Linked DNA regions of Diceros bicornis minor. The protein of the gene in region 4 binds, or shares a complex with, the protein of the main gene of each other region. Links are inferred from orthologs where the notes say so. Each region holds a gene or a part of one and is shown on either strand. Other genes may lie near its edges.

Region 1 (7,075 bases), on a different chromosome or scaffold from region 4:
AGCCGCTCCACTCCCAGTCCTTGGGCGGCTGCCACACTGTGTAGGTGTCACAAACCCTTCCTGGAAAAAGCATCTGCTCTAAATTGCATATTTCCAACAATGGCCTCCATGAAATATGCTGACCTAACAATTACTTAGAGGATGCAAAGACAGTAGAGCCAGAATAACAGAGCCACAACCTGAGGCCTGGAGAGGGAGGGGGCAAAGGGATGCCTTTTACAGCCACTCCCCACAAACTCAGGGCACATTCACAAGGGGAAGGGGCTATTTTTTGGAGTTTCCCAGACCTCCTCTGAAGGTCTGCTTACACTGGTCCTCCTTGTTCACAGGCTCGCACTCAGTAAGTAGGGCAATAAGCACGGTGATTGTCTTTGTCCACACCATATTCCAAGTGCCAGGCAGACCTAGGTGATCCATAAATATTCCTGATGTAATCAGAGGAGACTCTGCCGCTCGTGAGCAGAGGCAAGAGCTCCTGCTCCTTTCCGCCTGTCTGTGCCCACTCTGGCACTCACCACCTCAACCAATGTCTAGCTAGGCTTCTCCTGCCCCGCAATGCCCGGCACATAAATTAAAACAGAACATGGGAGAGCCCCCCCCCCCCCCCCCCCCCCCCCCCCCCCCCCCCGTGGCTTAGCGGTTAAGCGCGCTAGCTCGGCTGCTGGCGGTCTGGGGTTCAGATCCCAGGTGTACAACAACACACCACTTCTCTGGCCATGCTGAGGCCACGTCCCACATACAGCAACTAGAAGGATGTGCAGCTATGACATACAACTATCTGGGGGGGGGCGGGGGGCCCACCTGAGTTGGTTCTAAAAGGAACCAAGCAGAGGTCGCCAGCAAGTGCAAAGGTGCTGAGTAGTGAAAATACCGGGCCATCGGGCACTCGGGGCAGTCTCCTCCGCCCCTGGCTGTGAGGGTGTCCCGCCCTTCACCGACTGTAGCTCTTTGACGTTGCTCCCAAGAGCCAGCTGCCCCTTTATCCTTCCCAGTGCGCACTGGCCTAACCATCCCATCAATTCCTCTTTTCCGTTGCCCCCTCCTCACAGCCTCTAGGCTGCATGTCTCTGCTCACCCACCCTCTTGCTCCCTCCTCTCTGTCGCGACCCCTCCTCGCTGAGGCGCGTTCTCCCCTCGGCCCCCTCCGCTCATCCACCCACGTGCCCCCTCCTCTCTGGGGGCACGTTCTCTCCTCGGCTCCCTCCTCGGCGCCCTCCGCTCACCCGCCCGCGCGCCCTCTCCTCTCTGGGGGCATCTCTGGCACCCGAGGTGCGCGTGCTCGTTGCCTAGCGACGGGACGCGGCTCGCGGGAGGAGGGCGCGTGCGCGCGTCGGGCGTGGCCTCCTGAACGCAGGCGCGGGTTGGGAAGAAGGGTTCCTAGCGCTCGGCCGGGCTCTGGCGGCGCAGGCCGGTTTGGCCGTTGGACCTGGTGAGTGGTGTGGCGCTCGGGCGACGTTCCGGAGCCGGCCGCGGTCAGTTCAGCGCCGGAGGCTCCGCGGGCGCGTCGGCGGTTCCTCTTCCTCCTCCTCGGGGGCGAGCGGCGCAGCGCCTGCTGGAGGGCCGGACCTCCTTCCGCGGACCCGAGATGGGAAAAGGAAGCTGAGCGTCCCGAATCGAGGGTTGCCGGATAAAATACGGGACGCCCAGTTAAATTTGAGTTTCAGATAAGTAAGGAATAACTTTGTAGTACAAGTATAGTATAATATAGATCATTCGTTATTTATCTGAAATTCAAGTTTAACTGGGCGTCGTGTATTTTTATTTGCTAAATCTGGCAACCCTACCCAGATCCTCTCCTTTCCCACTCGGCTGGCCAGCTTTCTCCCAAGAATGGGCCAGGGACGTCTCTTTCTTGTGACAGCTTCTCCAGGCTTGTTTCTGTGAGAAGAGGCTTACTGATGTTGAGCCAAGATGCCTGTTGGTGTGTATGACGGATAACATTCCTTACAACAATCTTGTGAGATGGGTATTATTACCATTTCATGGACAGGAAACATGCCAGGTGAGATAAGGAGCCTCCCCGGGATCCCGCTGATAATGGGATGCAGCGTCTGAGACGGACCCTGGATGGGGCCCTACTCCTGGGCCAGAGGTTCCCCTTTCCTCTGTATTATCCCCTTGCTATGTGTTATCTTTCTGGAGCAGCAGGAGGCTATTCATTTTTTACGTTACTCCGCTTCTAATGACACTGAGATGTCAGTGTAGTTATTTTTGTCTTTAGAGCATATCCCAGTGAAGAAGTACAGTGAAGATAACTGTGTTGCAAACTCAGTTGTAATAATTCTTTTCTCTATGTCATTGAGACACCAATGCTAGCTTGATAGGGAATTAGGTTCATTTGTGCCAGCGTTCAGCTTTGAGAGTTTTTATGACTACATTTATGTGTACACACGTAGACATTGCTTTCCCCGCTGCTGTTGCTATCACGGAAGATGGCATCCTATGTACAGTTTCTGCACCTTGCTTTTTCCACTTCACACTATATCCTAGAGATCACCCCCTGTGTTAGAGATTCTCCTCATTCTCATTATTATATATCCGTGCAATAATCCATTGTGTTGCTGTATTTCATCAGTCCCCTAATGATGAACATTGGGATGGGGTTCCATTTTAGTTTTTCTAAACAATGGTGCAAAATAACCATTTGCATATATCACTTCATATTTTTTCAAGATAGGAGCCCAGAAATGAGATTGATGGGTCAAAGGGTAAATCATATGTAATTTTCTAGATATTGTCAAATTTCCCTCCAAAGGAGTTATGTCATGTTGTACTCTCACCACCATTGTATGAGAGAGAGCAGTATTGGGGTCTATGGATGAACCTCAGGAGGTCATTGTTTCTGAACTTTTATGCAGAATGTTAGGTGCATTTGTCCAGGGACAGGTCTGGACACACTGGCATTGTATCCCCAATAATTGCTCATGCCTGACATACAGTAGGTACTCATTATATATTTGTTAATGATTGTATTTCATCGGAGTCTGGATTCCATAAGGGTAATTTGAGGGTGATCAGTTTTTTAAACCTGAGATATAGTGGTTGCTACATTTCTTTTTTAAAAAAGTCTGGTCTAAGATTATTCTTGTCCATCTTCATAACTGAATAGACTGGGACATTACTGGGAGAGTGGAGGAACTCTCTCACTTGCCACCATAAAGAGCCAGCTGTGTCAGCCTTGTGATTAAAACCCTCCTTGAGGGGCTAGAGGAGCTTGTCTTCTAGTGGGAGGACAGACGTGCGTACAGACGGTGCTCAGGTAGTGTGACAAGGGCTGTGTGAGCTGCTTGGGGAAGGAGGAACTTTTTTATGTTGCCTGAGAAAGCTCAGGGAATGAGAGATGATCTACATCTTGCAGGTGAGGAGATATTTGCCAACTTGAGAGATTGTGAGGGATCATCATGTGCAAAAGTCGTGGAGATGCAAATGTGCGAGGTGTGGTCAGCAGAATGGCAGAATTTTCAGGATTTTCCGTGTAATTAGAGCCCAGGATATGCTGGGGGCTGAAGAGATGCCTGGAGCTGAGCCTGGACAGAAAACTGGAGCCAGAGTGTGAGGGGCTTTAGGTGCTGTTCTTGGAAGGTTGAATTTTTTTTGTTCTTTGGCCTTGCAGATTCAAGGACTTTTTTTTTTTTTTTTTGAGGTGGACTATTGTGACATTTTCTAAAAATGACTCTCCTGACTTGGGTGGAGCATCTTAGTACAGTCATTAAGTTCATGACTCTGGAATCAGGAGTTGCATGTGAATCCTGCCTCCACCGTGTGCCACCTGTGTGATCGTGGACTGTTCACCTGTGCTCTTTGTGCTGGGCTTCCTCACCTGCACAGAGGGATGATGACACCCATATTTCAGGTGTGTTGTGAGGCATTGTTGAGACAGGCATTGCTTGGCATATGGTCATCTTGCAATCAATAATGACAGTATTCTTTTTTTGACTCCTGGACTTGAGGGCCCATCAGGATTTGGAAACTGTTTTAGTTGTAGTGACTTCTGTGGAGCCTTTTTGGAAACCGTTAGAAGTTTCCTGGGGCCGTCGTGCTTGTACCATCCCTGATTGGAGGTGCCCCTGACTGGTGACAGGATGTAATGCTTTGTTGGCCTCACCGGACTCTACTTTTATTGTGCCTTAATTGAAAATGTTCTGCATTAATTCACAAACATTTATCTTTAAAAGTTAGGAGTTAGAAATGGAGTCGATATATCTTCAGAAGTACGTGGGGACGTGTCTAACTCAAGGTCTTGCAGAAGTGGCAAGAATTCGCCCTGTGGATCCAATAGAATATTTAGCATTGTGGATTTGCAAGTATAAGGAAAACGTGGCCATGGAGCAACTGGTAAGTATAGATCTTCTTTTAGAAAATTAGAAGAGTAAAATAATTGGTTCGGTTTGTCTGCTTTTTAAAAAAGGTCAATATTGTTATTTCTTTCTGTTATAAAAATACTATGTTTATTATACAAAAACTTGGACAAGATGAAAAAGTAGAAGAAGGAAACAATACCGAAAGAAGACCTCTATTTAGATTTTTAGGTATTTTCTTCTACTCTATTTTCTACACATCTGTCTATAGATATTTTTACATAGTTGTGATCATATTCAATGTATAATTTTAATTTTGTGCTCTTTATTTGAATAAAACATGCATTTCCCCAAATTATTATACAATTTCCAAATGGATAGACTATAATTTACTTATCCCTTTCCCTATTGTTGATAATTAAAATGCTTTCAAAATTATTTTGTCTCGAATTAGTCACGTGATATTGTTTCTAAACAATGCTAGAGACAAAAGGAAATGGCCGACTTGGAGCGTGAAAGAGAACTAGCTCTGAGGGAGCAGGAAATGATGGAGAGGCTCAGAGCAGAGGAGCTCATGTTTCAGCAGGTGAGACAAGTAACAGAGTTCAGAGGTGACTGGAATTAACAGTGTCAACCTCTGTTTGGTGTAACCCAAGTGCTGAAAAACTCCCCATCTCTGGTTATTTAGTGTATGGCTTTCTTATATCTTCATCTCTATGTATGTCTTCTTTGCTGGAAAAGCAGCAGCAGTGAGGTAGGAGGAAACCAAGGAGTGTGCCCTCGTGGAAGCCAAGGGGAGAGAGCGTCTCAGTGAGACCTTGGTGGTGAACCATGTCTATTGCTGGTTGAGTGAGAGCAGGACTGCACAGTACCCATTCAAGGCCACTGGTGACCTTGGCCAGTGTGGGTGGGGGGCGTACAGCAGGGGAGATGGTGAGTATAGATAATGCTTTCAAGGAGATTTTTAGGGAAGAAGTTTTTTTTTTTTTTTTTTTTTTTTAGGAACAGAGTGGAAGTGGAGAGGGAGTTGATGTTAAGAAATAGAGGGGATGATTTCTAGAGTCAGCTGTCCATGGAGGCAAAGCTACATTGAGTCTGGAACATAGGTTAGGCAGGTAGAAGGGAATTTCTTGATTCAAGGAAAGAGGAGAGGATGGTGTAGGTACATGTGGGTTATAGGTTTTGTGGCACAAAGTTGAAAGCAGTTTTCTGTGTGACTGTTCTTTATGAAGTAAGGACCATGATCACCTTCCAAGAATGAGGTGGTAGTGTAGGAGGTGTGGGGAGAGTGGTGAAGGTATGAAGTGGTAGCTTTGGAGCATGACAGAGAGAGTTGGCCAGGGAACCTTAGCATTACTTGGTAGCAATGAGTACCCTGATATGGTTGGAGACCAAGCATTTAAAATGTTGCCATTTGGTTTGGCTTTGTGATGATGTGATTTTTCTCCACTTAGGCCTAGATATCTGCGTGAAGATGTGGAAGAGGCAGACCCTTGACTGAAGTAGGTTTAGGGTAGCAGGACTGGGGAGCTGAATGTGTTGGTAAGAGTGGTTGAAGGGCTAGGTCATGGAGTATAAACTAGATAGAGGAAAGTTCCAGAGTGGCTTCTGCACTAATCTAATTTATGGAGAGCTTCTGAACTAAATGTAAGTCACCCCTCTAGTTCTACCATGTACTTAACTCTAGAGTCTCGACTCAAGTCTACATAGTTAAAAAGGGAAAGAAGCCTATTAGGCACCTTAGGTGGATGTGGCTGTTGAAAACTTGACTGCTTCTGAGTCTTCATTGTTCAGTCATTTGGCTTCTTCTTGTGGGAAGTTGCAAAGTGTGGAGTTGGATGTCAGTCATCTAAGTGGGCAAGTGTGTGCTGCAGTGGTCCCAACTTTGAGTGAGGAGCTGCCCTTCCTCTTGCAGCTCCTGTAGCTGGTGTGTGTCCCCCGTCTATCAGTTCTCCTTCCCCAAGACAATTACATCACAAAGGTGGAGATACTTAACTTTCTTTCACCCTTCTACTTTAACTTACTTAGATAAAATTTGACAGTACTGGAAATCACACATTTCTCTAACTGTATCATGTTGACCATATGAAGCAATCCACTGTGCATCGAACCCTAAGCATTGTATTGGGAGTGGAAGATACAATAATATTCTGCAAAAGATTTGGCCAGTAAAGAAGTGGATTGGTGGGCAGAAATAGATGAGAGAAGGAGAAGGGACATGTGGAGAGATGGACCAAGAGAGAAGAGCTTAGGAGAGAGCAAGGCTGAGATGAAGAGGAGCAGAGAGGCCTCTCCACGCCCCTGGGGTCAAGTGGGCTGGAGGTTCAGGACTCTGGCCGCCTCCCTGTTGGTTGCAAGAGCAGGTGTCCTTGTAGTCAGTACTGCTGACTTGAAGTTCCTTGACATTTTAGGCACTCTTTAGCAAGCCCTGGTCCTTGTGAACAGGCAAGTATTTTTATTGCTGTTTTCTACTTAAGAGCTTATTTATTTTTTTTTTTTGTGAGGAAGAGCGGCCCTGAGCTAACATCTGCCAATCCTCCTCTTTTTGCTGAGGAAGACCGGCTCTGGGCCAACATCCATGCCCATCCTCTTCCACTTTACATGGGACGCTGCCACAGCATGGCTTGACAAGCAGTGCGCTGGTGCGCGCCCGGGATCCAAACCAGCGACCCCTGGGCCGCCGAAGCGGAGTGCGCGCACCTAACCGCTTGTGCCACTGGGCAGGCCCCTGTGCTTATTTTTGAAGTAAAAGCTTTTTTGTTTTGTATTTGTTTGTG
Region 2 (7,425 bases), on a different chromosome or scaffold from region 4:
TCATCTAGCCCACAGCTTTGAGTATGACCTACTTGCTGATTACTCCCAAATCTCTATCTCAAACCAGGCCACTTCGCTGAACTCCGGACTTCTGTATCCAGCTGCCTACTTGGTATCTCCTCCTCAATGGCCCACACGCCCTACAAACTCAGTGAGCCCAAACATGAACACGTTTTCATTCCCTCATTTGCCCCCATTTGTCCAGACACTGCAGCAGCACAGCTGAGCATTATCTTGGCCTCCACGTTGCCCTTTGTCCCCTCCACCCCCGTCCCATCAGTCACCAAAGCGGAACTAATGCTCTGCTCCTGCCCCTTCCTCCCTACAACAGAACCAGGTCCTCCTGTTGCAGTTTCCCCCTCTCCAGTCTATTCTGTGTGCTGCCGCTGGTTTGATCTCTCTCCCTTTTGTTAACTTGATGCTTCTAAGATGCTCCCTAACCAAGTCCCCCTCCTGCCTAAATCCTTCACTGGTTCCCCCTTTGTCTTCAGCATAAAATCCAAATGTCTCTAAGAAAGATTCAAGCCCCTGCTTCTCTCTCTGGCCTTCTCCCTCACAGCTCTCCCTCCCTGCTCCCATGACCTCTCCTGTCCTTCTCTCCATGCTCCAAACTCCCCACACTGCATTGCTCAGACTTTGACGTTCTGCTCTGTAAGGCTCACCCTGCTCCAGCCCCTCCCATCTCCTCCTGGCAAATTTTTATTCATCCTTCAACAATCAGCTCAAGGGTCAGCTCCTCCAGGATGCCTTCCCTGACTGCAGCCTCCGTTCCAGGTTAGAGTCCTCTTCCCACATCCCCAGTGCCTTCGATCCCGGCACTTAGCACCAGGTGCTCCAGTGGTTTGTTGACTGGTCTGTCTCTCCCACTAGCCTGTGAGTCCCTTGAGTTGCTGTGTCTAGTTCTCTGTGCCCCCGGTGCCTAGCACAGAGCAGCAGTGAGTGAATGAATGACATGAACTCACTGTCCCACAAGGCAGCCCATCTCACTGTGGGGCAGCCCTTTTAGGCAATACTTCCTCTTACTGAGCTGGGTCTGCTGTCCTGCGAGTCTGCCTCCATCCATGAGGGTCCTGGCTGGGCCCTTGGAGCCCTTACAGAGAGAATCTGCTCTGTCCACCCTCCGAGATTTGAAGACAATTGTTACGACTTCCCTGAGACCTCTAAACCAGCCCTTCTCAATTACAAAGGTCGCGGTCAGTAATGATACTGATAGAATGCAAGTAAATTCTATCAGTGAGTAAAAGTAACGAGGTTTGAGAAGAGTTCAGTTTTTCATATAAACTGGAGTGGTTTCAAGATTATCCCCACAGAAACATCACTCTCATTCACCTGCCTTCCTGAGTGGGAGAGAGGGGGTGGGGTCACAGCTGGGATGTGGCGGCCTCGAATGAATGAGTGACACAGAGAAGGTTAATCGCTGGGCGATTATGAATCATTGTGGTGCTCCTCTTCATTATAAGTTTAGCTTTTTGGGGGAGGGGGTCAAAAAAAATCTAGGTACCCCCTGGGAGGGTGTGTTATTTATACATGTGACTCACCCCTTAAGAGTTGTTGCAGGGAAGAAGGATTAAGGACTGTTGTTTGAAACATATGCAGTTCTTTTAATCAGTCTTTATATGACATCGTTTCAGATGCCAATGATTGCTGGGCAATTTCATGTTTATTATCTCATATAATCCCATTTCAATACCACAACAACTCACTATTTTTTTTTTCAGAGATGGGAAAACTGAGGCGCAGAGAGGTTAAGTAATTTGCCCAGGTCACACAGCTAGCAGGTAGAACTTGGATCCAGACATGAGTCCTTTCAATGTTTAAGTTGGGCTTATCTTTCTGCATTCCAACTGCCCTCCCTCCTCATGACCTTTCCCTAGACAGGTCCCACTGGCCAATAGATGCTTGAACAGTGGGTGACATCACACACTGTCCTGAATTGTTCTCTACTTGTTTCATGAGTTTGTGTCTTGTTTCTCCGACCACACTGCAGACTCTCTCTACTCACCCCACTCAGATCTCCTACAGGACCTGGCCCATGGGGGGCAATTATAGTAGACATGGTGTCTGATTACCGGCTCTGCTGTTTACTAGGCTCATGGCTTTGGGATAATCATGGCACCTACCACTCAGGGTTGTTGAGAGGATTAAATGAAGTAACGACGGGAGGTTCTCAGAACATCATCTGCACAATTCAATAAATTATCACCACCCAACCTTAAGTGATAGCCAAGTCCATTCTCTCTCCTCTCTCCAGCCCACTGCCCTGCTTGAGGCTTGAGAAGACCTCTAAAGGGGTCTCTCTCCTTCCTATATAAGCTTCAATGGCACCCTGTACTTCCCCTTTTGTAACACTCGTCACACTTTTTGTAACTTATCTAACATCTGTATTCACCAACAAAATTAAGTTGCATGTCTGTCTGATTCACAATTATATCTCCAGCTGCTACCCATTGCACCTAGTCTATATGGTAGGTGCTCAATAAATATTTATCAAAAAGGCTTTTTTTCAGAAAAATGTGCTGACTCCTGTCCTAGACTTTCTTAGAAATGGACCACCAAGTCCCCAAGATTTGATGGAAGTATTCAGAGATGCAGTTTATTTAACACTAAAACTCCACGTGACGACCAGAATCAAATTTGTAACACATCCATCCGGCCAAGTCACTCTCTTGTTCACAATCCTTTGGTTCTCCACGATATCCAAGACGAGGTTCAAATGTCTCCTTTGTCCCTATTTTATTGCTTGGAAAACCAGGACACCCAGGCATAAAGGGTAAAGGATGATGGATTGGGAACTCAGACCCCACCCGAAGCCAGGATATAGGTGTGCAAGAAGCAAGAGAAGGAACCGTGCTACGCTGTGCAGGAAAGCTCAGCTTGGAAGAGAGGGGGGTGGGGCCTGCCCCAGCACACCCATAAAGCCTCGCTCTCCGACCCCCCAACTTACGCCTTCTTGATCTGGGCATCCTCTGAATTTCTAGAGATCTGGAGCACAGAGTAATAATCCCGGCCCATGGCTGGCAGGCAGGCAGGCAGGCAGTGGCTAGTCCTGACTCCAGCAGGGCTGTTAGTCTGCATTCCTTGGTTGCTCCTGACAACCGTACAGGGGCACTCTGGGAGTTGTAGTCCTTCCTGCCTAAGCAAACTGCCTTCTCAGCTCAGCCTCATAAAAGAGCAAACAAAAAGATTGGGAGAACCAGGGCTGATTCTGTGAGCCTGATAAATGTCACTGACTCAGAAACCAGAGAGTGTTCAGGGAGAGTAGCAATTACTTTTAATTAAAAGTTTTCAGAACAAATGCATTTGGCTGTTTTTTTTAAATAAATTTTTATTTTAGAACAGCTTTAGATTTTCAGAAAAGTTGTAAAGATACACAAAGTTCCCACACACGCCAGACCCAGTTTCCCCTATTATTAACATCTTACATGAGTATCGTACATTTGTCACAATTACCAGTATTGAGACATCATTTATAGTGGAAGTCCAATACTTTATCCAGATTTCCTAGTTTTTAACCTAATGTCTTTTTTCTGTTCCAGGATCCCATCCAGGACACCACATTATATTTAGCTGTCATGTCTCCTTAGGCTCCTCTTGGCTACAACTGTTTCTCAAATTTTCCTTGTTTTTGATGACATCAATGATTTAAGGAGTACCGATCAGGCATCTAGTAGAATGTCTCTCAGCTGGGATGTGTTCGATGTTTTTCTTATGTTTAGACTGGGGTTGTGGAGTTTGGGAAGGAAGACCACAGAGGTGAAGTGCCGTGCTCGTTCTGTCAGATCAAAGGTACATACTATCAACATGACTCATCACTGCTGATGTTGACCTTGATCGCCTGCTGCAGTAGTGTTTCTCCACTGTCGGGTTACTTTCGTTTCCCCCTTTCTGGATTGTCCTCTTTGGAAGGAAGTCATTTTGCAGCCCACCCTTAAAGAGTGGGGAGTTCTTCTCCATCTCCTTGGGGGCAGCAGCGCCCTGTTATCCACTCATCCCACATCCAGTCAGTCACCAAACTCAGTCCATTTTACCTCCTAGATGCCTCTCAAGCCCCTCCTCTGCCATGGCCTTGCTTTGGCTTTCATCTTTCAGCAAGGCCACTACAACATCCTCACTGTCCCGCCTGCCTCCTCTCTACCCTGCCAAGACCATACACCACACTGCCCAGAGTTAAGGCACTACAGCACTTACAACGCCCAGACTAACCATTATCTGTCTCACATTCACCTGTGCTGCCACCTCTGCTCAGACTCTCCCCAGCATACCCACCACCAACCCTGGCTTCAACCAAGCTAACTCCTACTTGTTTTTTTTTTTTTCTTATAAAGTAGCTTATATGTACAAAAGAGCAGCATTAGAACATTGCTTATTGAAGGAATGTTGCCTCTGTGTGCCCCTCCCCACCTGTTTATTTTTCTCTTGCTTTTCTTTATTGTTTTACTACTGTGCATGTATCCGGTGGTGTACTAGTAAATATTTAACAAGTAGGTCACCAGAAGGAAAAAATAGCCCTGATTTGTAGCATTTGCCAATTTCTCCCATGCTGGTACAAGCCAGCTCCAGCACACCACTGCATGTATCCCTAACAACACATTTACTTTTCAATGTTTTTATTTATTTATTTATCTATTTATTTTCCCTTTTTCTCCCCAAAGCCCCAGTAGACAGTTGTATGTCATAGTTGCACATCCTTCTAGTTGCTGTATGTGGGACGCCACCTCAGCATGGCCGGAGAAGCGGAGCGGCGGTGCTCCCTGGGATCTGAACCCCAGGCCGCCAGTAGCAGAGCGTGCGTACTTAACTGCTAAGCCACGGGGCCGGCCCCCTGCTTTTCAATGTTTTTTAACTTTATATAAATGGTGTCATTTATGCAAATGACATGTCTGTGTGTGTGTGTCTTATTTTCACGGAGGCTGTATAGCACTCTCTGTTGATGCTGGATATTTGGGTATGTGTGTCAACTTTGCGAGGTAATGTCAGTTTCCTGATGCGGTTATTCTAATTTACACGGGCAGAACAGCAGTGTGTCTGAGTTCCTTTTTGCTCCACATCCTCACTAGTTCTTGATGTCCCCTGATGGTGTTTCAGATACCAGTGACTGAGATATGTAAGAACTTTCCTGGGTCCTCTGAAACCACAGTTACAGAGAGGTCCTGCCTTAAAGTAGCTCTTTCATAGTATTTGAGGCAAAAGGTCTACTTTAGGTATATTTGGAGGAGGTAAAACACACTTTAGGAGTTGGGCCAAAAGACAGAGAAATCAATGAAAGAGCTAGGAAGTAAAGTGCAGGTTTTGGGTGAGTTGAGTGGTCAGAAAGTGACCCTGTCTTGATCCTGCTGTGCTCACATGCCATCTGTGTGACCTGAGGCAAGTTTACTTAATGGCCCCAAGTCTAAGTTTCCTTGAGTAAATGGGATTATCAACATGAACTCCACCACAGGGTTGGTGTGAAAATATTAAATGCAATTATATAAAAGCACATATCACATACAAGATGCTCCCCCAGCACTGAGGCAGTAGAGTCAGAGATCAAGTTGCAAATCCTGTCCATTAGCTACTAGTTTTATGACCTTAAACAACTATTTCTTAGCCACAGTTGCCTGGTTGTAAAATGAAAATGTGGAATTACTCTTTTTATTTTTTGCATTTCTGAACTTTCTTGTGGATTTTATTTAACTACTGAAATTGAACATCTTTTCATGTGTACTGGCCATTTGTTTTACTCTTATTACCAGAAAAAAAAGTTACTAAAAATTAAACCCATAGGGTTGGGGGAAGGCCATGCTCAGCCTGGGACTGACTGAGGTGAATGGAGGGGCAGAGGGAGACTCTGAGGGCACCATGTGGGCAGGGGCTGAGGTGAAAGGGGAGGAGACGGCCTGTGTGGTTGGCAGATTGGTTAATCACAGAGGTATTGAGCAAATAAGTGAAAGTATACTGAGAATTAGGAGAGCCAAGTTTCTCACTGTTGGAGAAAGGAGGTATGTATGTAGAAGGCTATAATAAACCCTGTCGAGTTGGATTGGAATTGCAGACATTGGTGTGAACTCAAGATTTTTAATATACATAGAATGATGGATGTAGAAATACAGATGTACGTGTGTACCGTCCACTGATAGGGCCTAGAAGCAATAATACCCCAGCAGTAAAAAGCTTACTAGTAGTACCCAGATCTTGGTTTCTGAATACCATTCTCCACTAAAAGGAACCAGGGCTATTTGGACAAATGACTGTTTCCAGGGCCGGGGTGGGAAAGTATAAGATGAGCTTGAATATCTTGTTGTACCAGAAAATACGGAAGTGCTCAAAGAATGATGGAAACATGTCAAAAGGGCATAGGATCTAGCTTGAAGGAGCTCCTACTGGCCCAACTGGGACAATTTAAACATCAAAACAAATAGTAGTAATAATGGATTATGATCCATAGAATAAAATATGAATTCATGAGTAGTTCATACTAATATATCTATGATAAATGAAGGAATGAATGAATACATACATGGAGAAGAGAAAGTTCCACCACATAGTAGAATGCCAATTATAAATGTAAAAAGGATGGAATTAGAAAATCACCATTTGGCAATTATCATAGGAATAACTGATTCAGAGATAAATCATCCAAGAATGCTAAAACTAGTTGGTGGAAGTTCTATGAGGAATAGTATATTTTATACAGTTTCAAAGTAGCTCCCCACAAAAAACTTAACTTTGCTGTGGAGAAATCTGGTAGACATCATTTTATCAATTTAACATCACCTGACTATAACAAAAAAGATAGACAAAAACAAGTGTTGGCAAGGACATGAAGAAATCAGAACCCTTATACACTGCTGCTGAGAATGTAAAGTGGTGCAGCCACTTTGGAAAACAGTTGGCAGTCTCTCAAAACATTAAGCATAGAGTAACCATCTGACCAAGCAGTCCCACTGTTAAGACATATAGAACTGCAGACCTATGTTCACACAAAAACTTGTACATGAATGTTCGTAGCAGCATTATTCATAATAGCTAAAAAGTGGAAACAATCCAGATGTCCACCAACCGATGAATGGATTAAAAAACTGTGGCAGATCCATACAATGGTGCTATTGCTCAGGTTTCTCCAGAGAAACAGAGTCAACAGGATGTGTGTGTATATATAAAGAGAGAGATTTATTTTAAGGAATTGGCTCATGCAATTATGGAGGCTTGAAGTGTCCAAAATCTGCAGAGTAGGCCTGTAGGCTGGAGACCCAGGGAAGAGTTGCAGTTCAAGTCCAAAGGCCGTCCTCTGACAGAATTCCTTCTTGCTTGGAGGAGGTCAGTCGTCTTCTATTAGCACCTTCAACTGACTGAATGAGGCCCACTCACGTCATGGAGGGTAATCTGCTCTACTCCAAGTCCACTGATTTAAATGTTAATCTCATCCAAAAAACACCTTCACAGAAA
Region 3 (7,768 bases), on a different chromosome or scaffold from region 4:
GGGCCAAGAACAGAGAGTTGGAGCCAGACTGTGAGTCCCTTGAGAACTGGGACCATCTCTGATTCCTTTAAATGTTCCCAAAACACAGCACCAGGCCTGATACATAGCACATCCTCCATAACTGTGGAGTGAATGAATAAGGATTCAGGAGTCGCAGGTGTAAAGGTCTTAGTGTTGCAATTAGAACTGAATGTAAAAGAAAGGAAGAGGGAGGATCAGGATGGAGGATGAGGATCTAGGAGTGGGCGTGGACTGAGGGATTGGGGGCAGGGAGGAACACAGGGTCAAAAGCTTCTCCTGGTCAGGGTAGGGGCAAGGTGGGGCCTGGAGGGGGTGCATACCTCAGGTTGAGGTACTGCAGTGATTTCATTTCCTTGGAGAAGCCACTCAGAGTTTCAATCTGGTTGTCTCGAAGATGCAAGGTAGTGAGATTGGTAAGGTTCTCCAAGCCTTCCACCTTCTTCAGCATGTTCTGGGCCTAGACTCCAGGATACAGGAGATAGATTAGGAAAGGGGGGCCTGGATATGGAAGGAAGAGAAGTCAGAAAGAGATGCAGCAAAAGAGGAAATCTAAGAACTAGGGAGGGAGCGGTGCAGGAGGGGAGCAAGGTGGGTAGAGATTGGTGTAGAGAGTAAAGAAGTCCAGGAGAAGCTTCCAGCTCAGAGAGTGGTCAGCAGTAACCCCCTACTGCTCATCCCCCCAAAGCCACATCTGATTATGGAGGAGATGCTTCAACCTACCCCCGGGCCCAAGAGCCCCCACTGCTCTGTTGAGGAGAAATGGCTTCAGCACCATTCAGGAATGAAGAAGCTCAGGAGTCTAAAAGACTAAACATTTAAGTGGCCTCCTCAGCCTGAGGTCTGTACCTCAGTTATGGCACATTATGCTGCTACCTGTATCAAAGCAAGCCGTTTCCGCATTGTCCACACCTTATGTATTATCAGCCCTGCTAGGTGGTAAGCACATTGTATGTTTTAACTTTGCATCCCTACAGCACCTGGCACCAGGTAAGGGCTCAACAAATGATACCAATTATCACTATGATGATGAGGTTAGTAGCTGAGCTACTAGAAGCCAGGCATCCTGGCCCCCAGGACAGTGCCCTCTTTCCTGCACCAACCACCTTCTGACCCTGTGAGCTACCAGGAAGAGGTTCTTCAGCTTAGGAAGGTTGATTCCCAGGGTGCTGTCCAACTGGTTCCCCCGAAGCTCCAGTGTGTGCAGGCTGATCAGCTTTTGAGGGTCCAGACCTGTCACCATGTGGATGCGGTTTCCTGAGGAGCAGGAGGGTGTCAAGAGCTCAAAGCGCCACTCCGAATGTTCAGCAGTACAGCCTGAACTTTGGGAGACTCTGCATCATCCTCTCCCTCTAATGCCAGGTGGATATGAGGAGGGACAGCTCCAGACTTAACACTTTCGGGGCCCTGGGGCAAGTGGTCTGGTAGTCCAAGGGGCTGATGGACACCTCCCCCTAAGCCTTTGAGGAGTGAGTGAAGAGTGACCAGTAATCCACATGGCTACCTCCCTTTCCTCTGTCAAGTCTTTGCTCAAATGTCAGCTTCTCAATGATGCTTGTCCTGACCAACCTGTTTGAAATTGCCACCTGTGCCCCCCAATTCCCTTTACCCTGATCTATTTTTTCCAAAGCATATATCTCCTTTTAACATACTATATAATTTACTTATTTATTGTGTTCATCAATAATTGTCTGTCTCCCCTGACTAGAATGTAAGCTACATGAGAATGGGGATTTTCTTTGTTTTGTTCACTGTTCTATCTCCAGCACATAGAACTGTCATAATGAATTATAATGAATCTCTGAATGAATGAATGAATGAGTGCAGATTGCTATGTGGCAAAGCCAAGGACCACACTGCCCACTTCTGTTGGCCCCAGGCTAGGAAGGAACGAATCTTGTGTAGCCATCCTAAGGCCCACCTTTGAGATCCAGGCTGCTGAGACGAGGATGAGAGATGCCCTCAGTGTCAGTGATCTGGTTATAGGCAAAACTGGCAATCTGCAGGTAGGGCAGCTCGTTCAGCCGGGCACTCCGCAGCCGGTTGCCATCAGCCTTGAGCCAGAGCAGGTGGGTGAGGTAATTGAGTGGGGACAAGTCTGTCAGGTGGTTCTCAGAAACATCCACATAGCGCACATGGATGTAGGAACGCAGCAAGTAGATGTCTGTCAGATCTCTAGGAGATGGCAGAGGCCAGGGTTAGGGTTAAAAATCCAGCAAGGACTGGCAGGGATGCTAAAGCAGAGGCAATAAGGAGATGGCTTATAACAGGGAGAAGAATAGGTGACAGATGGGAGGAGTGAGGAGGGGAAGGTAGGTGGGTTCCTAACAATAGACAGGGACCTTGTGTCTGTGAAGGGCTGAGAACCAACACTCCAAAGGACAAGTGTGGGAGTCCAGTAGGAATCCCCCAACATACCCTCACAGCCTCCAATTCCCAGGCCAGTTCTGACACAGCAAGTCACAGGGCTCCTGAAAAGTAAATTCTATCCTTCTGTCCCCACTGGCCCGGGAGGAGCGAGATCCAAACCCTCAGCTGAAACACCCAGAAATGAGAGTGAGAAAGGAGACCGGGCTCTACAACCTCAGTCCTCTTCTGGTCCCCCATAAACACACCTCTCTTTAAGCTCCAGCTTGACATAAGCATGAGCCAGTCCATTGCCTGTCTTACACAGCAGAGAAAGCCCTTCCTCCATCATGTCCTCCGTGAGGGGAGTGGGCATCCACTGCAGGAGGAAATGGAGTCAGGCATCCCTTTCCAGCCCAACCCCATCCCTTAGCCCTAGGACCCCTGTTTCTATGCGCTCACTTCCTCAGTGAAGTCTTCTCCCTCTTTCCTGTAGTCCTCCCACTCCTCTGTCTCCTTCTCATCGTCTTCCTTTTCCAGATCATCCTCGTCTGGCTCAAAGGCTTCCAGATCATCTTCATCTGACATCTTTCTTCCTTGCTGAAGGCTCTGGAATCAGATCAAGCAAGGTCCTCGTCCTGAGAAAGAAAGTCTCCTCAGCGTCTTCCATTCCTCAGCTCCCTCACCTTGGTTGACCAGGTACCCCTCCCATCACCCCATCACCCCTGACCTCCTCCTGACTATGCTTCTTTCCTCATCCCTGTGAACATCTCTTTTTGACTCCCAACCTCCACTTCATACTTCCCACCAAGGAGCCTTCTCCTTTCAGGATGCCTCCCCAGACCCCTGAGACTTTTCCTGCCCTTCACAGTGGCTCCAACTCGCCTCTAGCAGCTCCGTGGTCTCCCTGCTTCCTGGACTCTTCTCTCCTCAGTTCTTCCCACCTCCTCCTTAAACCACGTTCTCCTTCAATCTCTCCTACCGATCCCTACACTCCCCTCCCCTTGCATCCTTAACCCCTGCTCCACTCATTTCCTCTAACTCGCCCACCCTGCTTAGCCCCATTTCCCATCTCCTCTGGGACACCAGCCTGACGCAGTCTCCAACCCTCCCACCCAATCCTTCGCAAAGGGGCGCAGACCCTGGTCCTGCTCAACTAGAAGCGGTTATGGAGAGGGTCTTGGCCCCAAGAGGGAAAGAGTGTTTTGAAAGAGCAGCAAGGGGGAAGGAGGCGTTGTGTACTGCTGTTATGGCAACAGGGGTGGGGCGGGGCACTTGGCTTCCGCAGCGGCGCCGGTTGAGAGAAGAGCCGCGAAGAACTGAGCTGAAAATCCGCCCCGGAGCCGGTGGATCAGTAGTTGCCTGGTTACGAGCCCGAGTTCCCAATCCCAGGAACCCGGATGAGGCGCAATAATTGGCACAGGGCATAAAATAATGGGCGGGGCTTAGAACAGTGCAGCGAGAGGAGGCGGGGCTAGCAATTACGTCACCTGAGACCTGAAAGGGACTGGACACCCTCAATGCAAAAGTACTGTGAATTCAAAAGAAGCTCATCCCCTGAAGCAAAAAGGGGGAAAGAGGAGCAAGAAATACCAAGGTAAGTGGTCTGGTTCCACCACCACCCCACTCCACCCCCGCATAGGTCCCACCCGTTAGTTATTTTCAGCCACCTTTGGCAGGTGGCTTGGTGGAGTGGAAGGAGCCCATGACCAGAGTATCTTGAGACCTGGGCTGGAGTCTTAGCAGATCTGCAGTTTACTAGCAGTTTACCTAAGCCTCCTTTTTCTCATCTGTAAAATAGGCTTAACTATACCGACAGGGATCGAGTATGCGTCTAATCCATGCTGAAGTACGTGTAGACGGCTAAACCCAGTTTGGGCGCATTTCACTCCTCCTCACACCCTGGAATGGTTTGATGCAAACCTTTTGGGGGATAGTAAGGGAGAAAATCCAACCTGTGCCCACCAAAATAGTCCTCATCCAACGTTGTTATATAAATAATCAACAAGAATGGATACAGCCACACCCAGGCACTCAGGCCTGCGTGACTTGTTGAAGGCAATGAAAGAGAGAAAGGTTGAGATGTGACAAATATTTCTGGAGAGTTTGCACCAGACATTGTGTAAGATGCCTTTGCAAGTGATATTTAATCTCCACACCAGTCCTGTATGATAGATATTTGAAAGACGAGGAAACTAAGGCTCAGGGAGGTTAATATTTATGACACAATTCCTGCCTGGGGAAAGGAGGATATTACCAATCTTGTAGAATCTAATATAAATAAAACAATTAGGCAACAAGGCAAGATATCATGTGATTGTTAAAGCGTGCCTTATAGACTTTATGTAACATGCAAAGCGGTCTGACGGAAGACGGGGGCTAGAAATCAGGAAATATTACCTCCTGCCCTGTCCAGCTTGGCTAATATAGTTAATAGACAAATCTGTTCACTTGATGTCATGGAACTAGCAGACACCAGGTTAGAGACACCAGGTTCAAACCCACTCTACCATTTAACAGCTGTGTGTTTCTCAGCAGGTTATATCATTTTACAAGGTTTAATTTTCACATTTGTGAAATGGGGATAAAAATGTCCACCTTAAAGGATTGTTAAGGTTAAAAGAGACAATGTGGGTAAATTGCCTTGCACACAGTTGACCCTCAGCAGACATCTCCCTGCCTCCTCCCCACCCCTTGCCTGTTTCCTCAGTACTGGGTTGTTGTGAGGAATAAGAAAGGGTATATATGAAAGCACTTTGAAGGGTTAGAAGTGCTATGCAAATAAGAGTAATTGTATTGTTGGAGTGCACAGAAAGGAAAAATCCTCCCGGTTTGCTGTAGTCAAGGGAAAGAATGTGATTTTCCTTGGCCCAGAAGAAAGAGAAAGACACATTAGGTGGGAAGAAAAGATGTGACATAAGGATTAGGGATGTATCAGTTAGCATACTTTCGTTAAGCACTTACTCTGTGTCAGGCTGTACTCAAGGACATTAAAACAGGGTTCCTGTCTTCAGGGGGCTTACAGTCCAGTGACAGGGTTAAGTAAACAAGTAATTCAATATAATGAGACAGAGGTTATAATAATGATACCCAACACTTATAGAGCTTTAATTAAGTGCCAGGGGATAATTTGATAGTACATGTGTATACATGATATCATATATTCAGGGCAGAGATTCCAGACAGAGGAAGCACCTTTGGCAAGACCTGGAGCAGAAAGAACTCAATGCCTGTGCAAGGAAGGCAAGTGGCTCTGCTGGCTGGAACAGTAGGTGCACTCGGGGATGAGGTAGGAACAGCAGACAGACCTGGATTACACTAAGGAATCTGGACTTCATCCTGAAAGCTGTGAGGAGCCATCGGAGATTTTATTTTGTGTTTCCTTGACACCATGGAATGAGAGCTAAATACTTCATGTTCTCCTCTTGGATGACATCCTTCCTCCAGTGGCTGGTCTAAATAGAATCTCCTTCTACTATAAAAATAATATTTAATTAAAATAAAAGTGCAAATAATAGAGAAATGTATATAGAGGAACATAAAAGCCATGATCTCCCTCAGCACCACTCTCATTTATTTATTTATTTTTTTCTTTTTTTTGTGAGGAAGATCAGCCCTGAGCTAACATCCAAGCCAATCCTCCTCTTTTTGCTGAGGAAGATTGGCTCTGGGCTGACATCCGTGCCCATCTTCCTCTACTTTATATGGGACGCCACCACAGCATGGCTTCACAAGTGGTGTGTCAGTGCGCGCCCAGGATCCGAACCCACAAACCCTGGGCTGCCGAAGAAGAGCGTGTGCACTTAACCACTTGCGCCACTGGGCCGGCCCCTCATTTATTAATAAATATATAAATTTTTAAAAAACAAAAATGGTATCAATCATACATACTGTTCACCAACTGGATTATTTTCATTTAATAATATGTCTTGGACATCTTTCATATCATTAGTCATAGATCTATCTCTTTTCGATAGTTGTCTAGTCTTTCATTATGTGGATACATGGTAATTTTTTAACTGTTCCCCATTGATGAATATTAACTTTTAAAAAAAATTGTCAACATTATAAACAATGCTGCAATAAAAATCCTCATAGATAAACCTTGACTCTGCTGCATGCATACTTATACATGTAGCAGTACTTCTCAAATTTTAATGTGCATAGGAATTGCCTGAGGATCTCATTAAAATGTAGATTCTGACCCCTCAAGTGATGCCAGTGCTCTGATCCATGGACCACACTTTTAGTAACATGGCTGTGTGGGATACATTCTTAGGAGGTGCAATTTCTTGTTCAAAGGGTATGTACTTATACTTTGCCAATCTTAATAGGTTGAAAAATAGGTGTGTCATTATTATTTTAATTTGCATTTTTTGATTGTTTGTAAGGTTGTTTCTTTTTATATGTCCATGTATTTGTATTTGTTTGTATTTATTTTACGAAATGCTTTTTCATATCTTTTTTCATGTTCCTGCTAAGTCATTAATTTTTTTTATTGATTTGTAGAAGCTCTTTATGATTTGGATATTAACTGTGCAGAAACTGCCGGTTGCCTAGCTGATATTCATTCTTGCCTTCTTTCTTACTAACAGAACTGTTTTTAAACAGTTTTGTTAACATATAATTTACATACTATAAAATTCACCCATTTAAAATGTACAATTCAATGGCTTTTAGTATACTCAAACTTGTGTAACCATCACCACGATCAATTTTAGAACATTTTCATTACCCCAAAAAGAAACTCTGTACCCCTTAGCCATCCCGTCCCAATCCCCCCATCCACCCCTGCCCTTGGCAACCACTAATCTACTTTCTGTCTCTATAGATTTGCCTATTTTGTACATTTTATATAAATGAAATCATACAACATGGTCTTTTGTGACTGGCTTCTTTCACTTAGCATTGTGTTTTCAAGGTTCATTCATGTTGTAGCACGTATCAGTACTTCATACCTTTTAATTGCTGAATAATATTCTGTTGTATGGTTTACACCACATTTCATTTTATTTCTTCATTCATCAGTTGGTGCACATTTGGGTTGTTTCAATTTTTGGCTATTATGAATAATTCTGCTGTGAACATTCACGTACAAATTTTTGTGTGGCCGTGTATTTTCATTTCTCTTGGTTATATACGCAATGAGTATCAATATAAAAATAATACTCTTAGTATCAAAATACTGAATTCTATGCTGCTATGAATGGATTCCAAAGGAGGATGTGATTCTTTGCCACATGGAGATTTCATTCTAAAATATTTATAGTATTAATAATATATTGATTCATTTATTCAACTATATATATTGAGTTCCTACTCTGTAACAGGCATTTTGCTAGGAACCTGAAATAAAATATAAGCAAATACCTAGAAGGAAACTATTTTCACTTGAAAAATTTAT
Region 4 (7,358 bases):
CTCCTCCTTTTTTTTCTCCAAAGCCCCAGCAGATAGTTGTATGTCATAGTTGCACACCCTTCTAGTTGCTGTATGTGGGACGCGGCCTCAGCATGGCCGGAGAAGCGGTGCGTCGGTGTGCGCCCGGGACCCGAACCCGGGCCGCCAGCAGCGGAGCGCGCGCACTTAACCACTAAGCCACGGGGCCGGCCCCACTAATTCTTTTAAAATATGGACTTTTAAAAAATTTAATGGGATATCTTTATCTTATTTGTATATTTCATTTTTTTTCCTAAAATTAATGGGTAATATACTTACAAGGTTAAAAAATTCAAAGCAATACAAAAAGGTATATACTGAAAAATCTCATTCCCATCCCTGTGCTAAGCCACCCTGTTCTTTCTTGTCCTCAATAGGCAACCATTTTTTAATATTTATCTCCTAGTGTTTCATTTTGCAAATATTGGCAAACATAAATATATATTACTTTTTCTCTATCACAAAAGAGATATCACAATTGCTACACATTGTTTTGCATCTTGCTTTTTTCCCATAACAGGACACAGAGAACTTCCTTATTCTTCCTTTTACCATTAGTTGTATAGTATTCAATTTGGTGGATTCATCAGGGTTTATTTAACCAATCTTCTAATGCTGGTGCTAAATAATCTAATTCAATCTTTTGGTGCTAAGTAAACAATGCTGCAAAACACAACTTGTATATATGTCATTTCATATTAATACATGGGTTATAGCAGGAATTCCTAGAAGTAGGACCGACGCGTCAAAGGGTAAATGCATCTGTAATATTGATAGATAATTACCAGATTCCCTTCCATAGGAGTTGTGCCATTTACTTTTATATTTTTGCCAGATGGTATCTCAGTGTCATTTTAATTTGCTTTTTTCCTGCTTCGAGATTGAGCATCTTTTCATATATTAAAGAAGCATTCATTTTTTTTCTGTGACCATCCACATGTTCTGCCCATTTTCAACTGAATTTTTACCTTTCTCTAGGAGCTCTTTAAATGTTAGGGAGATTAGTCCTTTCTCTGTGATACGAGTTGGAAATCTTTTTTCCAAGTTTGTCATTTGTGTTTTGACTTTGCTATGATGTTTATTTAGCCATGCAGAAGTTTTTCATGTTTACAGTCTTATCAATCTTTTCTTTTATGGCTCCTAGACTTTAAGTCATAGTTAAAAAGGCTGTCCCACTCCAAGAATAAAAAGAAATTCATCCACCTTTTCTTCTAGAATTTATATGGTTTAATTTTTTAATACATAAATCTCAGATCCATTTGGAGTTTATCCTGTGTATATAGTATAATACTTGAATCCAACTATTTTTTAAATGGGTACCCAGTTTTTCTAACAACATTTATTAAAAAGTTCATCTTTACCCGAGTCTTTTAATTAAACATTTCCTTATACTTTCCTGTACTATTTTCTTACTCTTTCTTGTACCATCCCTACCCTCAGCCTCCACCTACCCTTCTAAGTTCAACCGAAATTCCATCTTTCCTGAAAATTGAAGTGTTCTCTTATTTTTTAAAACACTGACTAAATAGGCAATAAGACACTGTACAAATATAAGAGAATAAAAAACTATAATTTCAAAAAAGGATAGTACAAAAAAGGAAGATTAAAACTATTCAATTCTGGGCCGGCCCGGTGGCTTAGCGGTTGGGTGCGCGCTCCACTGCTGGCGGCCCGGGTTCGGATCCCGGGCGCGCACCGACGCACCGCTTCTCCGGCCACACTGAGGCCGTGTCCCACATACAGCAACTAGAAGGATATGCAGCTGACATACAACTATCTACTGGGGCTTTGGGGGGAAAATAAATAAATAAATAAAATCTTTAAAAAAAAAAATTCTATTCTATTTGATAATCTTTAACAACACTTTTTAGATTCATTTTCAAATCTCTACCAACCACAGAACAAGGCTTAAAACATTAAATGTTTGTAATAACTGAAAAAAATACCAACAGTCTAAAAGTGCACCTATAGAGGACTAAGTAAATAAAATGTGGTTCATCCACAAAGGGGAATATTACACAGAAGTTAGGAAGAATGAGACAGATTCAGATGTAATGATCTGGAATGCTGTCTGAGGGACTTTGTAAATGGGATTAAGGGAGAAGGACTGTCCTATTTAACGGGAGAAAAAATGTTTGTAAATGCATAGAAAAATCCTGGAAGAACAGAAAGTGTTAAGTGGTTGTCTCTCTGGAGACTGGGACCTGGTGTGGGAGAGAATAGGTGAAAGGAAAAGGAATTTTACTTCTCATTTTATATCCTTTTGAAGTGTGAAAAATTTTTTTTAAATTATCACATATAACTTTCATACCTAGAAGAATAAACCTAAGTTTAATGCTAAATACTGAGGATCTAAATGGGTTAACATATTTACATAAACATAAAAAAAAGGAGCAAAGAGAGGAAAAAACATGATCATGTGCCCAGAAGTTACCTGAACAATGGTGAATCCAGATCTGAGAATAATATCTTGTATCTCCTCCTCTTTGTCAATAATATCTGGTTTGATAATGGCCAGAGTTTTTTCTACATATATCTGCGGTGGGGGCATTGATATCTCCATCCTGGCTTTTCAGGATACAATTTAAGAGATTCTTGACAGGTGTCAACTGCAATGACATGCATTCCCCACCCCAAATTTAATGTAATTGTGATTAAGAACAGCATTAGGTGCTTGCTTTTATTAATTTATAAAGTTAGAAATTGCGTATCTTTTTCTATAAACGGTGTCTCAGGAATACGATTTCTACTTCGCGTCCAAGTCGTGCCTTGGGTTTTCCTAAGCGCTTTCGAGGTGGAGAGGTCAAGGGACAATCCGAGGGCCTGGGACTAGCGTAGACTCTCAGGGCAGCAACAACAGACTAAGTCGGCAACTCCTCCTGCATTCCAGCAGCAGGTGAGCGGCAGCCTGTCCTACTCCGCCCAACCCAGCCGGACACAGCCCCGCCCGCCCAGCAGTAGGGTCAGGGCTGCTTGGAAAGCAGAATCTCTACGTCCCCTGGGCGTCTCTGGGCTGCACCCGCAGATTCCAAGTCCGACCCTTGTCTGGGGACTCACCTTACCACTTGCTCCTCCGGTGCCACCACAACTGGTTGCTAGGAGACCCGAAGCCCTGCTTAGGTACGGTGGCTGCACAGGGCCAATCCCAGCAGAGTGTTTCACAGGCTCTGGCCGGTTCCTTACAACCAAGACAGGGAGCCAGCCACAGGCGTTTTTATCCCCCGTGCAAATCTTAGAGCACTAGACATTTTCTAACATTTTTCTCATAATTTATCTTATTTCATCCTCCTAGACATTTGAAGGACACTTCAATTATCTGCATTTTACAAATGGTGAGGCAACTTACAGACACTATCCCCTCATCCTACCCCATCCCCTTCCAGACAGTGTATGGAAGAAAACCCAGGTCAAATACCTTACTCATTTCACCAGATGATACTGTCCCCTCTATTCCGATCTTCTGTAATCATTAAGAAGCAATCTTTGACTTGTGAAATAACATTTATTTATAGAACAGTAATAAGAGGTTTAATCTAGTTACCTCTAAATTAAACCTATGGAACAAAGATGTGGGCAACATTTATGGCACAACCCCAAATCTCAGCTTTCCCCATTTTCTATATATTATGAACACAGGCACCTTTGACTCCATGATTGTGAGTTAAGGCATTATTCTTATTAGAAAAGACAACTGAAAAGTGGTAAACAAGTACTGGGAGCCTCTGTGGGTCAGAGTCTCAATGAGAGGTCCGAATTCCAGAAAAGCTCAGGGTAGCAGCTCCAGGTTAATAAAACAGGTTTTTCATCATCCATGGAGTTGGCTGGTTCTCATTCCAGACTATTTAAGTCTCTTCTTTTGTCTAACCAAATACTCAGCACCTACAGGGTCAAGGCAGACAGCAAGCTATGAATCTTTATGCAATTTTATTTTTCTGCAAAGAGATTTGACTATGTTTCTTTCAAGTATGATGCTGCCCAGAAAAGAAACCCTCAAATGCCTTCTTCTGGCTACCATGTCTTATCCCCTATAGATGAGACAGTATGAACATACATTAATATCAACAGGTATAGCAACCAAAAAACAGACAGTGACTCCAGCCTCTAGTTTGCATGTTTAGCCCTCCGACTTGAAGCTCTGGAAGCAGGAGCTCCCGTTACTTATCTATCCCTAGCTCTCTTGAGAGCTCTTCACTGCTGCCTGCTTTCCTAGACTACTTTACTTCACTATTGATTAAAGCTGGTCCTGCAGAGGCTCAGGGTTTTCCAGCAAGTACAAGGTCAATCCTTCAGGGCCTTGAATCACCTCTAAACATAAACTCTGGGAACACAAGGCCACTTCAACATCACTCTTATTCTCACAGACCTCCTAAAATCAGATTCCAGAGGCTACTCTCCTTTTTCTTGCAGCTCTCTACATACAGTACCTGAATCTGCTCCAAAACTTCTCGCTGCATCTCCACAGCCATATGGTACACATGATGATCAGAGTCATTGTACATCACAGCATTTTGGAACATCAGCATCAGGTCCCTCTGAAACTGAGCCATGGTGCGAATCCGTCCCTTAGACAGATTCCTCTTCAGGCTGGTTAAGTCCATGGGTCTACAGGTGGCGAAGAGAAACCAGAGGAAATCAAACCTTCATGTGGAACATGTGGTGACCTAACATATTCTCTTGGAGAACTAGCCAGCTCTTAATGAAAACAGTATAAAGAGAGAACTAACCAGCTCTTAATGAAAACAGTATAAAGATAAGAATCCCCATAAGATAATAAAATAGCAACAGCAGCTAACATTTGACTGTGTATAAGAGGCCAAGCGTGATGCTAGGTACTTTTCTAATTGAATTCACTCGATCCTCTCAATAAACCTATAAGGTAGATACCATTATCATCTCCAACTGGCAATGAGGAAACTGAGATCTAAAGAGGTTAAGTACTTGCCCAAAGTCACACAGCCTGGGTTTCAATTCAGAGGCAGCCTGACTCCAGAGCCCAGAGGCCCAGCCACTACACTCTACTATTGTAGGAGGAGTGCTGGCCCAAGGTACCAAAGTTGTAAAGACCTCCAATGATCACTGTGTCACATGGTCGTTACTGACTGATTGTTTATAATGCATAGTCATATACTAGGTATTTAATCTACTTTTCTTAATTCATAATCAAAAGCTAAGAATTGTTTCCTCTTTCATGGAGATGAAAAGAGTGAGAATCAAGTGAATATTAAGATACATAATTATTTAATGAGATACAGAAAGTGGGTATATAAGAGAAAGCACAGCAGTGTAGAAAGAGGGCTTTTCTGGGAAACTGGGAGGTAAGAATCCGGGGTTTAGTTCAAGCTCTGCTATTCACTATTGATCACAGGCAAGTCATGACCACCTCTGAGCCTTAGTTTCCTCATCTAGAGAATAAAGGAGTCTGTCTCCAAAGGTCCTTTCCTGATCTTTTATAGTCTAATAACACACTGGTTTACGGAAGCATTTTAGATGAACTACGCCATAAAAATCCAAAATACTGCAATCAACCAATGTTTGTAACATCCATTTGGATTACCATCTTTGCCTTAGCATACCTATAACTGCCTGAATAAATACAGTGTTCCTTTTAAAGTTTTGTTCCAAAAGAACAGTGTCAAAAACTACCAAAGGTTAATGTAAGATTATAATGAATGGATCATTTTACTTAAAAGTCAACACTGAAAAAAAAAAAGCCTATATTATCCTTTTGTTCCCTGCATTCTTTCTCAAATGAAGACTGAGCTCACCATAACTTTACAAACTTGTTCGGCTGGAAAATATATCTTGAGTTTGTAAGTAATGTAAATGAAATAAGGAAATAATCTAATAGATGGGAAATACAGTATGAAAAGACAGATATAAAAGCAACCAACCTTTCTTTCTTTTTTTTTTGTGAAGAAGATCAGCCCTGAGCTAACATCCATGCCAATCCTCTTTTTGCTGAGGAAGATCGGCCCTCAGCTAACATCTATTGCCAATTCTCCTCCTATTTTTTTTCCCCCTTTTTCTCCCCAAAGCCCCAGTAGATAGTTGTATGTCATAGTTGCACATCCTTCTAGTTGCTGTATGTGGGACACGGCCTCAGCATGGCCGGACAAGCAGTGCGTCCGTGCATGCCCGGGATCCAAAGCCGGGCCGCCAGTAGCGGAGCGCGAGCACTTAACCGCTAAGCCATGGGGGCAGCCCACAACCAACCTTTCTTGACCACTTTTCCACTGACCTTTTCACCACATCCTTGTATCCTGGGGCCTGCCTTTCTGATACAGGCTTCAGAAAAGGACTGCTGAACCTGTTAAAGGACAAACATCAAGAGGATGAAGAAACTCTGGAAAGTCACTCTAAATGAGAAGAGTGGCTGTGAATGCCACAAATGGCTTGGAGACCTACCTGTGGCTGGCAATCATCTTCCAGACTGGCAGGAGAGTCTTCTTAAATAGCAAGTGATCCTGAACAGGGTCACTCTGGCCTAGATCAGACCTATGGGATGAAACAGGACAGAAAAGAAACAGTAACTTCACATATGGTATTCTGTCTCCCCCAGTGGGTAATGAAGTTAACACCTAGTACTCCTAGTTAATTCTATAAATATTCTTATTGGTCACTACTACCCAATGAAGTGGTTACATCATAAAGTATACTACAAACCTACAAATGCCTGTGCCTCTTGGACTCTTGCTGATTTGCTCTTCAGCACCTGTGACTCTAAAGAACTGGTCCATGAAAGTGATCTTTGTTCACTGATGTTTCACAAGTGCTTGGCACATAGTAGGTGCTCAATTAAGTATCTGATAAATGAATCTGATCCTGTTTTTATGCAGAAATATGCCACATTAATAAGTATTTCTCCCATATTTCCAGAGAAGGAAATACTTGATTTCACATTCCAAAGAATTCTCTTATGTTTCATCTGAATGCTACATGATTTAAATATTTTTCCTTTTCACTCTCCCCTATATAGTAATCTTTAAAATACCTAAGAAAAATCATTTCTCCTCAGGGACCTTCCTTCTCTGGGCTAATTTATTTAGTTTTTCTTTGGAGATGCAATGTTTTATTTCATTTTATAATTTTCCCAGTTGGCAAGTTTTCTGTTTACTCCAAAGTTAAACATCATGTTTATATACTTTACACACTATATATTCCCACTTTATACACTGCATTATGCTCTCTAAATGAGTTCTCTTCACACCTAACGTTTCACACCCTCATTCCGCTTTATGTACCATATTGTGTGTGTTCATTTGAGCACAACTCACATCTCATTTTATTTTTATCCAATTTGAGCAACTCCACATAACTATTCATTTTCATGATGCAATATC

What was found.
Region 1: NME5 (region 4) and DYDC1 share a complex: the UniProt entries of both Homo sapiens proteins name them as parts of the axonemal radial spoke complex. The link is inferred for Diceros bicornis minor from reciprocal best matches to the Homo sapiens genes NME5 and DYDC1.
Region 2: the proteins of NME5 (region 4) and DNAJB13 are in contact, whole or in part, in a cryo-EM structure (PDB 8WZB), measured with the Mus musculus proteins. The link is inferred for Diceros bicornis minor from reciprocal best matches to the Homo sapiens genes NME5 and DNAJB13. Residues at the interface, in NP_542368.2 of Mus musculus: Glu52, His53, Asn56, Met193, Lys199, Pro200, Lys201, Leu202, Cys203, His204, Phe205; in NP_705755.2 of Mus musculus: Thr156, Lys157, Lys158, Thr181, Ile182, Asp183, Arg185, Trp188, Arg189, Gly191, Thr192, Arg193, Ile194, Thr195, Phe196, Glu197, Pro281.
Region 3: NME5 (region 4) and LRRC23 share a complex: the UniProt entries of both Homo sapiens proteins name them as parts of the axonemal radial spoke complex. The link is inferred for Diceros bicornis minor from reciprocal best matches to the Homo sapiens genes NME5 and LRRC23.

Annotation. Positions count from the first base shown.
Region 1 is NC_080745.1:5,133,790-5,140,864, reverse strand, and holds the start of DYDC1 (DPY30 domain-containing protein 1), read left to right. Parts: upstream 1-4,056; 5' UTR 4,057-4,188; coding exon 4,189-4,335; intron 4,336-4,782; coding exon 4,783-4,884; intron 4,885-7,075. UniProt on the Homo sapiens protein: Functions as part of axonemal radial spoke complexes that play an important part in the motility of sperm and cilia. Plays a crucial role during acrosome biogenesis.
Region 2 is NC_080746.1:56,968,496-56,975,920, forward strand, and holds the start of DNAJB13 (dnaJ homolog subfamily B member 13), read right to left. Parts: upstream 3,013-7,425; coding exon 2,945-3,012; intron 1-2,944. UniProt on the Homo sapiens protein: Functions as part of axonemal radial spoke complexes that play an important part in the motility of sperm and cilia.
Region 3 is NC_080756.1:54,855,710-54,863,477, forward strand, and holds the start of LRRC23 (leucine-rich repeat-containing protein 23), read right to left. Parts: upstream 3,020-7,768; 5' UTR 2,953-3,019; coding exon 2,827-2,952; intron 2,744-2,826; coding exon 2,634-2,743; intron 2,194-2,633; coding exon 1,940-2,193; intron 1,276-1,939; coding exon 1,145-1,275; intron 479-1,144; coding exon 342-478; intron 1-341. UniProt on the Homo sapiens protein: Essential for sperm motility and male fertility. Plays an important role in the proper assembly of the third radial spoke (RS3) head and the bridge structure between RS2 and RS3 in the sperm flagella.
Region 4 is NC_080740.1:56,757,609-56,764,966, forward strand, and holds the start of NME5 (nucleoside diphosphate kinase homolog 5), read right to left. Parts: upstream 3,004-7,358; 5' UTR 2,582-3,003; coding exon 2,453-2,581; intron 1-2,452. Other genes in the region: bromodomain-containing protein 8-like, read right to left, coding at 3,847-3,897, 4,443-4,620, 6,257-6,325, 6,424-6,513. UniProt on the Homo sapiens protein: Functions as part of axonemal radial spoke complexes that play an important part in the motility of sperm and cilia. Does not seem to have nucleoside diphosphate kinase (NDPK) activity.